Oryctolagus cuniculus: one gene and its partner. The protein of the gene in region 1 interacts with the protein of each later gene in a biochemical or structural test. Links are inferred from orthologs where the notes say so. Each region holds a gene or a part of one and is shown on either strand. Other genes may lie near its edges.

Region 1 (4,764 bases):
CAGAAAAATGTTTCTAAGATAAAAACTGAGAAATTCTCCATATGGATCAATCAATGATTACCCACAGAATACTCTCTAAGGGTCACTTTATAAAGAAAAACATCTAAGAAATACTCTTTTCTTCTTAAAACCTCCCAATATACCTATTTTAGTCCACCTACTAAGTTTCCAAAGGCTACAATGCACAACTCATGCAGAGACCAGATCTTTCCCATCAGTTTACAAGTGTGCTATAATATTTCCTATCTCTTTAAAAAAAAAAAAAAAAAAAAAAAAAAAAAAAAAACTCTTTTGATTTGGAAACAAATAAGGAAACACCACAAGGAAACAAACATCCAGATCATGGGACAAGACAACTAGCCTGGTCTCTTCAAAAGTCAGTGCCATGAGAACTGGAGAAAGGGTTCTTGGCTTTTAAAACATTAAACATAATAACCAAATGCAATATGTGAATCTTGGCTGGATCCTAGTTCAGGAAAAAAAAAAAAAACATATATGAAATCAAACACATCAAGAACACCTGGAAAAACTGGGCATGGACTGGATATTAGATGATATTTGAGAACTACTCTAATTTTCTTAATTTGGATATGTGACTATGTAATTAAATAGTTTTATTGTTAGAAGATACATGTTCAGGGACCGGCGCTGTGGCATAGCGGGTAAGACCGCCGCCTACAGTGCTGGCAACCCATATGGGCACCAGTTCAAATCCCGGCTGCTCCACTTCTGATCCAGGTCTCTGATATGGCCTGGGAAAGCAGTGGAAGAAAGCCCAAGTGCTTGGGCCCCTGCACACGCATGGGTGACCTGGAAGAAGCTCCTAGCTCTTGGCTTTGGATCGGTCCAGCTCCAGCTGTTGCAGCCATTTGGGGAATGAACCAGCAGATGGAAAGCTTCTCTCTCTGTCTTTGCCTCTCTGTAACTCTGCCTTTCAAATAAATAAAAATATTAAAAAAAAAGATGATGCATGTTCTGTAATGATGCTTGTAACTCACTTTCAAATTGAGAAAAACACATTCATAGAGAAAGTATGGAAAAATATTAAAGTGATGAATCTAGGTAGTGAACACATGTACCATTCTTTCCATATGATTTTAGTATGTTGTAACATTTTCAAATGAAAAGTTGAGGGAAATCCTCCCTTTACCATGCTAAATTCTCCCCTCAAGCTATTTATTACTCTACTTCTCTGCTTTGTATCCCAACAAAATAATTTAAAGGAACTAACTATACTCAGTGTGTCTATTTCACTCCTCCTATGAAACCACTCTAACCAAGATTTTGTCTGATCAGTGTACAGCCTATATTTTAAAGATTTATGTACTTATTTGAAAGGCAGAGCAAGAGAGACAAAGGGGGAGAGAATGATCTTCTATCCGTTGGTTTACTGCCCCAATGGCCACAACAGCCAGGTCTGGGCCAAGCTGAAGCCAGAACTCCACCCTGGTCTAATGAGTGACAGGGGTCCCAATATTTGGGCCATCACTGCTGCCTTCCCAGGCATATTAGTAGGAAGCTAAATGGGAAGCAGAGCAGCTAGGAGTTGAACTGCTACTCTGATATGGGATGCTGGCCTCCCAAGAAGCAGCCGAACCCACCGTACCACAGCCCAGGCCCCAGAACTATTATGTATAACTAAATATAGTTGTAACTATATAATAACCTCTATGTTGTTCAACGCTCCCACTCAGTTCTCATTCTTATATTCAACTCATCAGCAATTTCTGACTCAACTGATCAATCATTCCTCCAAACGCAGTCTTCCCTCGGCTTTTAGGTCTTTTTCCTGGGGTTTCCTTTTGACTTTCTGGTCACTCTCTCTGGTCTCCTCCCTAAGATCCTCCTTATTTGGCAACTTCTAAACACTGGCACATGCAAGTGCTGTCCCTACACCTCTCCTCTAGCCCCCTTAATCTCATCCAGGTTCACAGCTATAAATATTGATATAAGCACTACTCTCCTAATTTTAACCCCCATCCCAGACTTCTCAACTCCCCATCTGTACATTCAATTCCCAGTTAATGTCTAATAGAATCTCAAACTTCACATATCCAAAACCTCAGGACTACGGCCCATCATTTTTCAAGGCCTCTGCATGTCTGTCTGGATCATGCCCCATTATTCATGATACAATATCCTCCTGCCTGGAAGGTCTACTTTTGCTTCTCTCACAGAAACAAATCATGCTTTAGGTTTTCATATCCAGTCATATATCTTCTGCCACCCTCCAGTTGTCTTCACCTTCCTCAGAAGAAAAGCTAAAGGTCCCAACTACCTCCTCCACGATGCTACGGGATATGTACCCATCACTGACCTTAGCTCTTACCCTCTTCTGCCTCACAGCTCCCAAACAAGGCTGTTTCCTGGCTACTCCCTCTGCCTTAGAATGACACCTGCACGACAGTCACAAGTCCTTCAAGGGCTCTGCTTAAACAGTATCCAATCAGTGAAGCTAACAAAACAGTCCCTGACCACACTATCAAGCATTTCTTCCCTCTTACACTGCTTCTTTCTTTTCCTCTGCAGCAACCAACCATCTAACATGAGCCCAAAAATGCAGGGATTTTATCTCACCTAAAACTTGGTAAGAACTCAAAGATATCTGCTGTGCTAACAGCATCTTCCTCAAGCTGCAAGATTAAGTTCAGAGTCAATTATTTCATTTTTCCTATATAACTTAAAACTACTTTAATACACTTCTAGAGTTTAACTGGAAGGACTATCACTATAATTTCTAGATACCCACTAAGTCCTCACATTCAGTCCAGAATATTTCTGAATTAACAAATGAGCAAAGTGAGCGTGAAAGCAGAGGTTTCTCCAGCACTTACGTGGGCAATGTCTCCCTTCGTGCCTATGACTCGATCCTGAGAGTGCTTACTGAACTCAACATAGTGGTCTTCTGTGAAGGAATGCCTACGGACAAAAGCACTGAGAGGTCAAGATGTTCAAGACAGACTCCTGCACACACTGCAGCCTCTTAATGCCTTGGCTCCCACAGAGGAAACGCCTGTACAGTGAGATTAAAAACATTCCCTCCAGCAGTGTGTCTAAGCATACCCTGACAGGGATTCCTTGGTTGGAAAAATGACCATAGGGCACATGTGCCTTTGAAATACGAAAGATTAGAATGTAAATGGCCCATGTGAACTTGGCAAAGTATAAAGATGGCCATTTGGAGTTAAGTGAAGGATCTGCTGCCCAAATGGGCAAGCATATACTTTCCAGGAGCATCTAGAAATTAAAAGATAAAATTTTATTAAAACATAAGCCTAAAATGAAGAAGTTAACAATAACTTACAGCATCCTACTTCCCAAAAGGCCTCTAGTCCAACAAATAGATGGAGTATAAATTATATAAACAAAACACAGGAACACCAGACTACAAAAGCAGATACATACTTCATATCAAATACTGATTTCATTCCCCAAAGTGCAGACAAAGGCTGGCTCCAAGTAGCAGATGTCAGCAGCAAGGACCCGTCCTGAAAGAAGGAGGCCCAAGGAGGGTAAACGTGGGTTTATATACATGTAGATGTTGCTATCTACCATTAGTATTTTTAAAATATTTACATAAAAGCATTACTGGATTAAAGAGAAAAAGAACAACTTTCAGGAGCCAAGAAATAATCAGAAGTCACTAAGATTTAAATACATGTACCTGCAGTGTACTAGAAAATAAATTTAACAGCACATTAAATCCTTCTGAGCTCGTAACAAAAATATAATGGCTCCAAAGAAAAGAGGAAGAAAACTTGGAAAGACATCAAAGATAACCGGTTCTCTTGATACGGCACACTCCTCAGTTTCCCTTGGAGTCCAGTCGATTTCACCTAGACTTTAGAGGTAAGGATTCCTCACAAGAAACTCCAATAAAAGAGGAGTTCACCAACCCATCTTAGAAACGAGAGCATCCAGGAGGAAGGGACCCTCACCCTAGAAGGTTCAAGGTGTGTGATAGCCGAGTTGTGACAGTTGTAACTGGCCTCCTCCTGTCCACTAAACACATTATAGAGCTTCAGCTGCCCTGTGCAGGTGCCAAGCATCAGGAACCTCTCCCGTGCTGAGAACGCACAGCAGGTGAAGCCACTCTCATCTTCATTGGCTTCCCGGAACACTGAAATAGGACGGAATCTAAGCAAAACAAAAGAGAATCAGAGACATAGAATGTGCAGGGACTCAAAAAGAAAACTTGCTAGAAGGACTTAGGTTTGAATAGGTGTGAAATAAGTTCTTTAAAATATCACACTAACCTTCACTGGTTCATTTTCAATTTTAAATGAGAGAAAAGGACCTCCACTTACAAATTTAAATAACAAAAATTCCCACATTTAGGGGCCAGCACAGTGGATAAAGTCACCGCCTCCAGTGCCAGCATCCCATATAGATGCTGGTTCAAGTCCCAGCTGCTCCATTGCCAATCCAGCTCTCTGCTGCGGCCTGGGAAAGCAGAAGATGGCCCAACTCCTTGGGCCTCTGCACCTGCATGAGAGACCTGGAAGAAGCTCCTGGCTCTAGATCAGCCCAGCTCCAACTGGGGCCATTTGAGAAGTGAACCAATGGATAGAAGAACTCTCACTACCTCTGCCTCTCTGTAACTCTTTCAAATAAATAAATAAATCTTAAAAAAAAAAAAAAATCCCACGTTTAAAACTGTGATCCCTTTCCATGAGACTTTTAAGGAATCACAATGTTCAAGGAGGCATCTGATGCAGCTGGTAACATGCTGTTCAGGATGCTCACATTCCGTATCAGAATGCC
Region 2 (4,740 bases), on another chromosome or scaffold:
ATAACCACTAGGCTACACCCCCCTCCGAGTGGTTTTCACATTTGTTAAATGCTCGGAGGTAAGAGTCCAAAGATTTCACAAAACACAAACATCACGGCAATTCAAATAAAGTTTTATTGGAACGCAGCCCCACATTCATTCACATTGTGCCCTGGGTGCTTTCTCAACAGTTGAGTGGTTCCTGCAGTCCTGACGTGTCCGACCCGTGAGTCCGAGACTGCCAGAGCAGCCCTTTGGTCCAGCGGTTACGTCGACCGGGACGGCCACATCCCCATCAGGAGTGCCTGGTTCTCTCCCAGCCTCTTGCTAATGCACGTCCCGGGAGGCAGCAGACAATGGCTCAAGTACTTGGGTCCCTGCCACCCACACGGGTGACCCAGATGGAGTTCTTGGCTTATGCCTTCTGCCTGGCCCAGCCCTGGCCACTGTAGGCACTTGGGGAGTAGTAAGCCAGTGAGTGAATAGATATTTCTTTCAAATAGAATGAAAATTTAAAAAAAAGTTAGACTACGAATGCCTGTTACTACTTCTAAAAGTTTAACATCTATTTTTAGAGAATCATTTGTTTTCTGAATTCCCTATGGCAACTTGGGCTTCTTGTTCCCTCCCTACTCAGCAGAGCTCTGTGGTGTCCAAAGCTAACCAGGGCCTTGGTCTTGAGGCACAGGAAGTCGAGCTGCAGCTTGCAATGCCCCCATGACATCAGCTATCCCGGGACCGGTTCAAATTCTGTCTGCTCTGCTTCTGACCCAGGTGCTTATTAGTGCACCTGAGAAAGCAACAGAAGAGGGGCCGAGTACTTGTCACCCACGTGGGAGGCCTGGGGGAGCTCCTGGATCCTGGCTGTTGTATTTGGAGACTAAACCAGTGGATGCAAGTTATCTGTCTTTCCCTGTCATTTTGCCTCTCAAGTAAACATAGAATAATCTAAGGTGAGGTCCCCACATCCCTGACCTGTTAGCAAGGTAGCTGCTGGTCTGAACGTCAGTAGCAAGTTCCTGCAGGCGTGTTTTTGCCGGTCGGAGCTGTACTCTTTGGGGCGCAGCAGCCTGACCCCACTCGGGCTGCCCACAGCACTGGGTCGGGTGCAGCTCCAGCCTCCTCTCTCCTATCAGGCCAGGTATGGAAGGCTAACAAGGGCGTGGCTGTTGCCAAGGGGACCAGGGTGGGGGGAGGGGACGGGTGCTCCCTCCAAGCACAAGGGTGGCCCACGGACACTGAAGGACGCTAGGCACAGAGCAAAAAGTTCAATAACCTTTTATTAGCAAACCTGTGCAGGCTAACTCGCTCACCCAGCTCAAAACAGCATCGCTAACAAGATCAGGCATGGAGGCGCACACTCAGTAAAGACCATCTCTTTATAAAAGGATTGAAAAATATCTCTGCTTAAGCATATTTGTTAAAAAAACAAACAAACAAACAAAAAAAACAAACTCCAGTGTTACAGAAAAAATATCCCAGTGACTTCAGTCCATAAAAAAACAGCACGTGGCAGTCACTGCTGCCTTAAACTCCACGGCAGGAAAACGGGAGAAAACTCACCCCTTCTGGTAAAAAACCAACACAACCCCTCACCCCACTTCCTCCTCCCGGTTCAACTCCCACCACCCCTTCTAGACAGTCGAGGTAACGGGAGAAACCAAGAGACACCACCTGAGCAATCAGGAAACAGCCCATTTCTGAGCCAGACTTCTAGAAACTGCAAAGCATCCTCAAACTTGGAGAGGACGAGGGCTCCTTCAAAGACCCGGGGACAGTGTGCCTGGCGGAGACCAGGATGCCTTTAGAAGCAAACATGCAGCACCTGCACCTGCCAGGTGGACAGCAGCAGCAGCAGGCACCGGGCCACCAGAAAAGCGCACGTGGCCCGCCGTCCCCACCCGGGGCGGGGAGAGAGCCGAGGAAGCAAGTACCTCTGGGGGAACTGCACGTCTCCCCCAAGGCCACCTCTGCCTTGGTTCAGGCTCTCGTCTGGTCTTGTCTGGAGGGGTCACGTGCAGAGACAGGGGTCAGAGGGCAGCCCCGCACACAGTACTTAGCAATGGGGAGCTTTGCAATGCCACGTGGTCGCGGGCGAGCACTGTCGGCAGCAGCTGCCCGGAGCCCACGCCTTCAGTCCCGGTCACAGCTTCGTCCAGTCGATGGGCTTCTTGCCAGACTTCCGCAGCAGCTCATTGGTTTTAGAAAAATGCCTGCAGCCAAAGAAGCCTCTGTACACCGACAAGGGGGAGGGGTGGGCCGTCTGCAGGACGTGGTGCCGCTTCTGGAAAAGACAAGAGGGCAGGTTTGGGGCCTTCAGAGACGGCTGTGCACCCTAAGGCAGGGGCACAGTTCCCCGACTCTGGCTGGACTCCAGGCCTCTTGCTTGTTCACCTAAAGCACCCACCTACCTGTGAAGCTCTCCGCACACGGAGGCCGGGGTCAGCCTTCCGTTTGGCGTGAGCTATGCCATTCTCAAGGGCCAGGCCCTTCCCATCGTGCAGTTCCCCCGCAGACTGCACTTGCTAACAGGCGCCGGGACGCGGGACGCTCCCTGCACTGCCTCTACCAGCCCAAGCCACATGCAAGCCCAGTGTCTGGAGCCACGCACACCCGTGTCCTCAGGTTCTTAGCTGCAGAATACCACGAAGCCACTAGAACGTGGCCTGACCAACACACCGATTTGGGACGCCTCCCGTTTATCAAGCGGGGGTAAAATAACAATCCACCAGCATTTATTTTCCTGGAAAAGTCTCCAAGACACTATTCATAGAATTCCTTTCAGGAACAGCAGCGATGGAAGACAGACTCTATACTCTGTACTGGAGTTACTTCTCCACAAAGACGGAACCCAAGGGGACTTCCAAACGTTCGTGGGGTTAAGAGAGTTTATTAAACTTTCAATTCTGTCTTCCCACGTGTTCACTGAGGCACCCCTGTACTCTTGATTTTTGGGGTCACTTGTAGCTATCTGTGTATGGAGGCTGTGGCCATTTTTGTCTTCCCTTTTTCTGTATTTCAATAGGAACTGCTCATCATCGCCTTTCAAAACATCCCTGCATTCAGGTCTCTGTCTGGGAGGCAGCGTATTCTGATCGACACAGCAGAGCCTGAGCCGGATGGCCTGGGCTCAAGTCCCAGTCCCACCCCAGCCGCTGTGTAGGCGGGGGAAGCGGCTGCAGGCGACACCACACTGCCGTATGCAGCTACGGAATGTGTCTCCAGCTTACCAAGTCCCCGCGGAAGGGCCAAGTGAGCAGCCCCGGTCCCTGTAAGCGTTAGCTCTGCTGACCGCAAGCCAGGCAGTGCTCCTGGGAGCCCTAACGACCTCCTTGCTCTGGGCAGAGGGCCCAGCTGTGCAAGCAAAGATGGAAGCGGGTCCAGGGAGAAGTGAGAGGCTTGCTCAGCTTGGCACTCGGGGCGCACAGAGAGGTGTTCTGGTGGGGGCAGGCTGGGGCCGACCCTGCCGCCTCTCGGGGAGGCATCAGTTGACTACCTGAGGGCCTAACGCAGGGCAAAGGCATAGTCAGGAAAGGGTGGGCTTGACAGGAGAGGACAAAGAATGTGGGATGAAGGACTGATGGCGTGTGGGGTGGGGAGCACAGGCTGAGTGAGCAGTGTCCAGGACGCCCGGATGCACGGTGTCAGCTGCACGGCCTGCAAGTGTGGAGGAGCAGCGTCTCATGGGGTGGAGGAGGAGACGGGGTTTCAGTTTGGAAGCTGCTGGATGGGATGTGCTCTTCAGACCCAGTAACAGGCACGGTGTGGATCTCTGCTTAGGACCAAGAGGCACAGGGCTGGAGACAGCACCCTGCCTTCTTTGTAAGATTTATTTGAAAGGCAAAGCTACAGAGAGACAGAGAGATCTTCCAACTGCTGGTTCACGCCCCAAACGGCCAGCACTTGAGGCTGGGTCAAACTGAAGCAGGAGCCAGGAACTTCTTCTGGGTCTCCCATGTGGGTGCAGGGGCCCATGCATTTGGGCCATCCTCCACTGCTTTCCAGGTGCATTAGCAGGGAGCTGGATCGGAAGTAGAGCAGCCGGGACTTGAACCACTGCCCATATGGGAAGCAGGCACTGCAGGCAGCACTCAACTCACTACACCACAATGCCAGCCCAGCACCCCACTTTCATCATCACGCTGCGTCTACAGTTTTTTTTTTTTTTTTTTTGGACAGGCAGAGTGGACAGCAAGAGAGACAGAGAGAAAGGTCTTCCTTTTTCCATTGGTTCACCCCGCAATGGCCGCTGTGGCCGGTGCACCACGCTGATCCGAAGCCAGGAGCCAGGTGCTTCTCCTGGTCTCTCATGTGGGTGCAGGGCCCAAGCACCTGGGCCATCCTCCACTGCTTTCCTGGGCCATAGCAGAGAGCTGGCCTGGAAGAAGAGCAACCGGACAGAATCTGGCGCCCCGAACGGGACTAGAACCCAGCTTTTAGGCTAAATCACGTAGACCACGAATGACAACCAACGCTGTGAGAGCTACGTGGCCGGAACCTTCCGGAGACAGGGAGATCAGAAATCACCCTTGTGCACACTCTTACCATCTTAATACCAGGCCCTAGCAGCTCCTGCGAGGTTAGTGCCCCAGACAGCTGCGGTCCTACCCTCAGAGCCTCTGGAGGGGTCAGCATGGAAAGTGTTCAGCTTGGTGCCATGTGGGATATGGGGAGGGGACCGTGTGCCCACAGCCGACACACCAGTGCCGTCCTACTGATGCGGGAAGCCGGTTTATCTCAGCTAAGACCCCTCGCCACTTA

The links. The genes of interacting proteins can lie anywhere in the genome.
Region 2: of the proteins of DCAF1 (region 1) and UNG, one has a biochemical effect on the other in vitro, tested with the Homo sapiens proteins (2 studies listed by BioGRID, with this or other methods). The link is inferred for Oryctolagus cuniculus from reciprocal best matches to the Homo sapiens genes DCAF1 and UNG.

Annotation. Positions count from the first base shown.
Region 1 is NC_091441.1:98,129,447-98,134,210, reverse strand, and holds part of DCAF1 (DDB1- and CUL4-associated factor 1), read right to left. Parts: intron 4,138-4,764; coding exon 3,939-4,137; intron 3,489-3,938; coding exon 3,406-3,488; intron 2,920-3,405; coding exon 2,835-2,919; intron 1-2,834. UniProt on the Homo sapiens protein: Acts both as a substrate recognition component of E3 ubiquitin-protein ligase complexes and as an atypical serine/threonine-protein kinase, playing key roles in various processes such as cell cycle, telomerase regulation and histone modification.
Region 2 is NC_091452.1:18,168,481-18,173,220, reverse strand, and holds the end of UNG (uracil-DNA glycosylase), read right to left. Parts: intron 2,264-4,740; coding exon 2,123-2,263; 3' UTR 1,236-2,122; downstream 1-1,235. UniProt on the Homo sapiens protein: Uracil-DNA glycosylase that hydrolyzes the N-glycosidic bond between uracil and deoxyribose in single- and double-stranded DNA (ssDNA and dsDNA) to release a free uracil residue and form an abasic (apurinic/apyrimidinic; AP) site.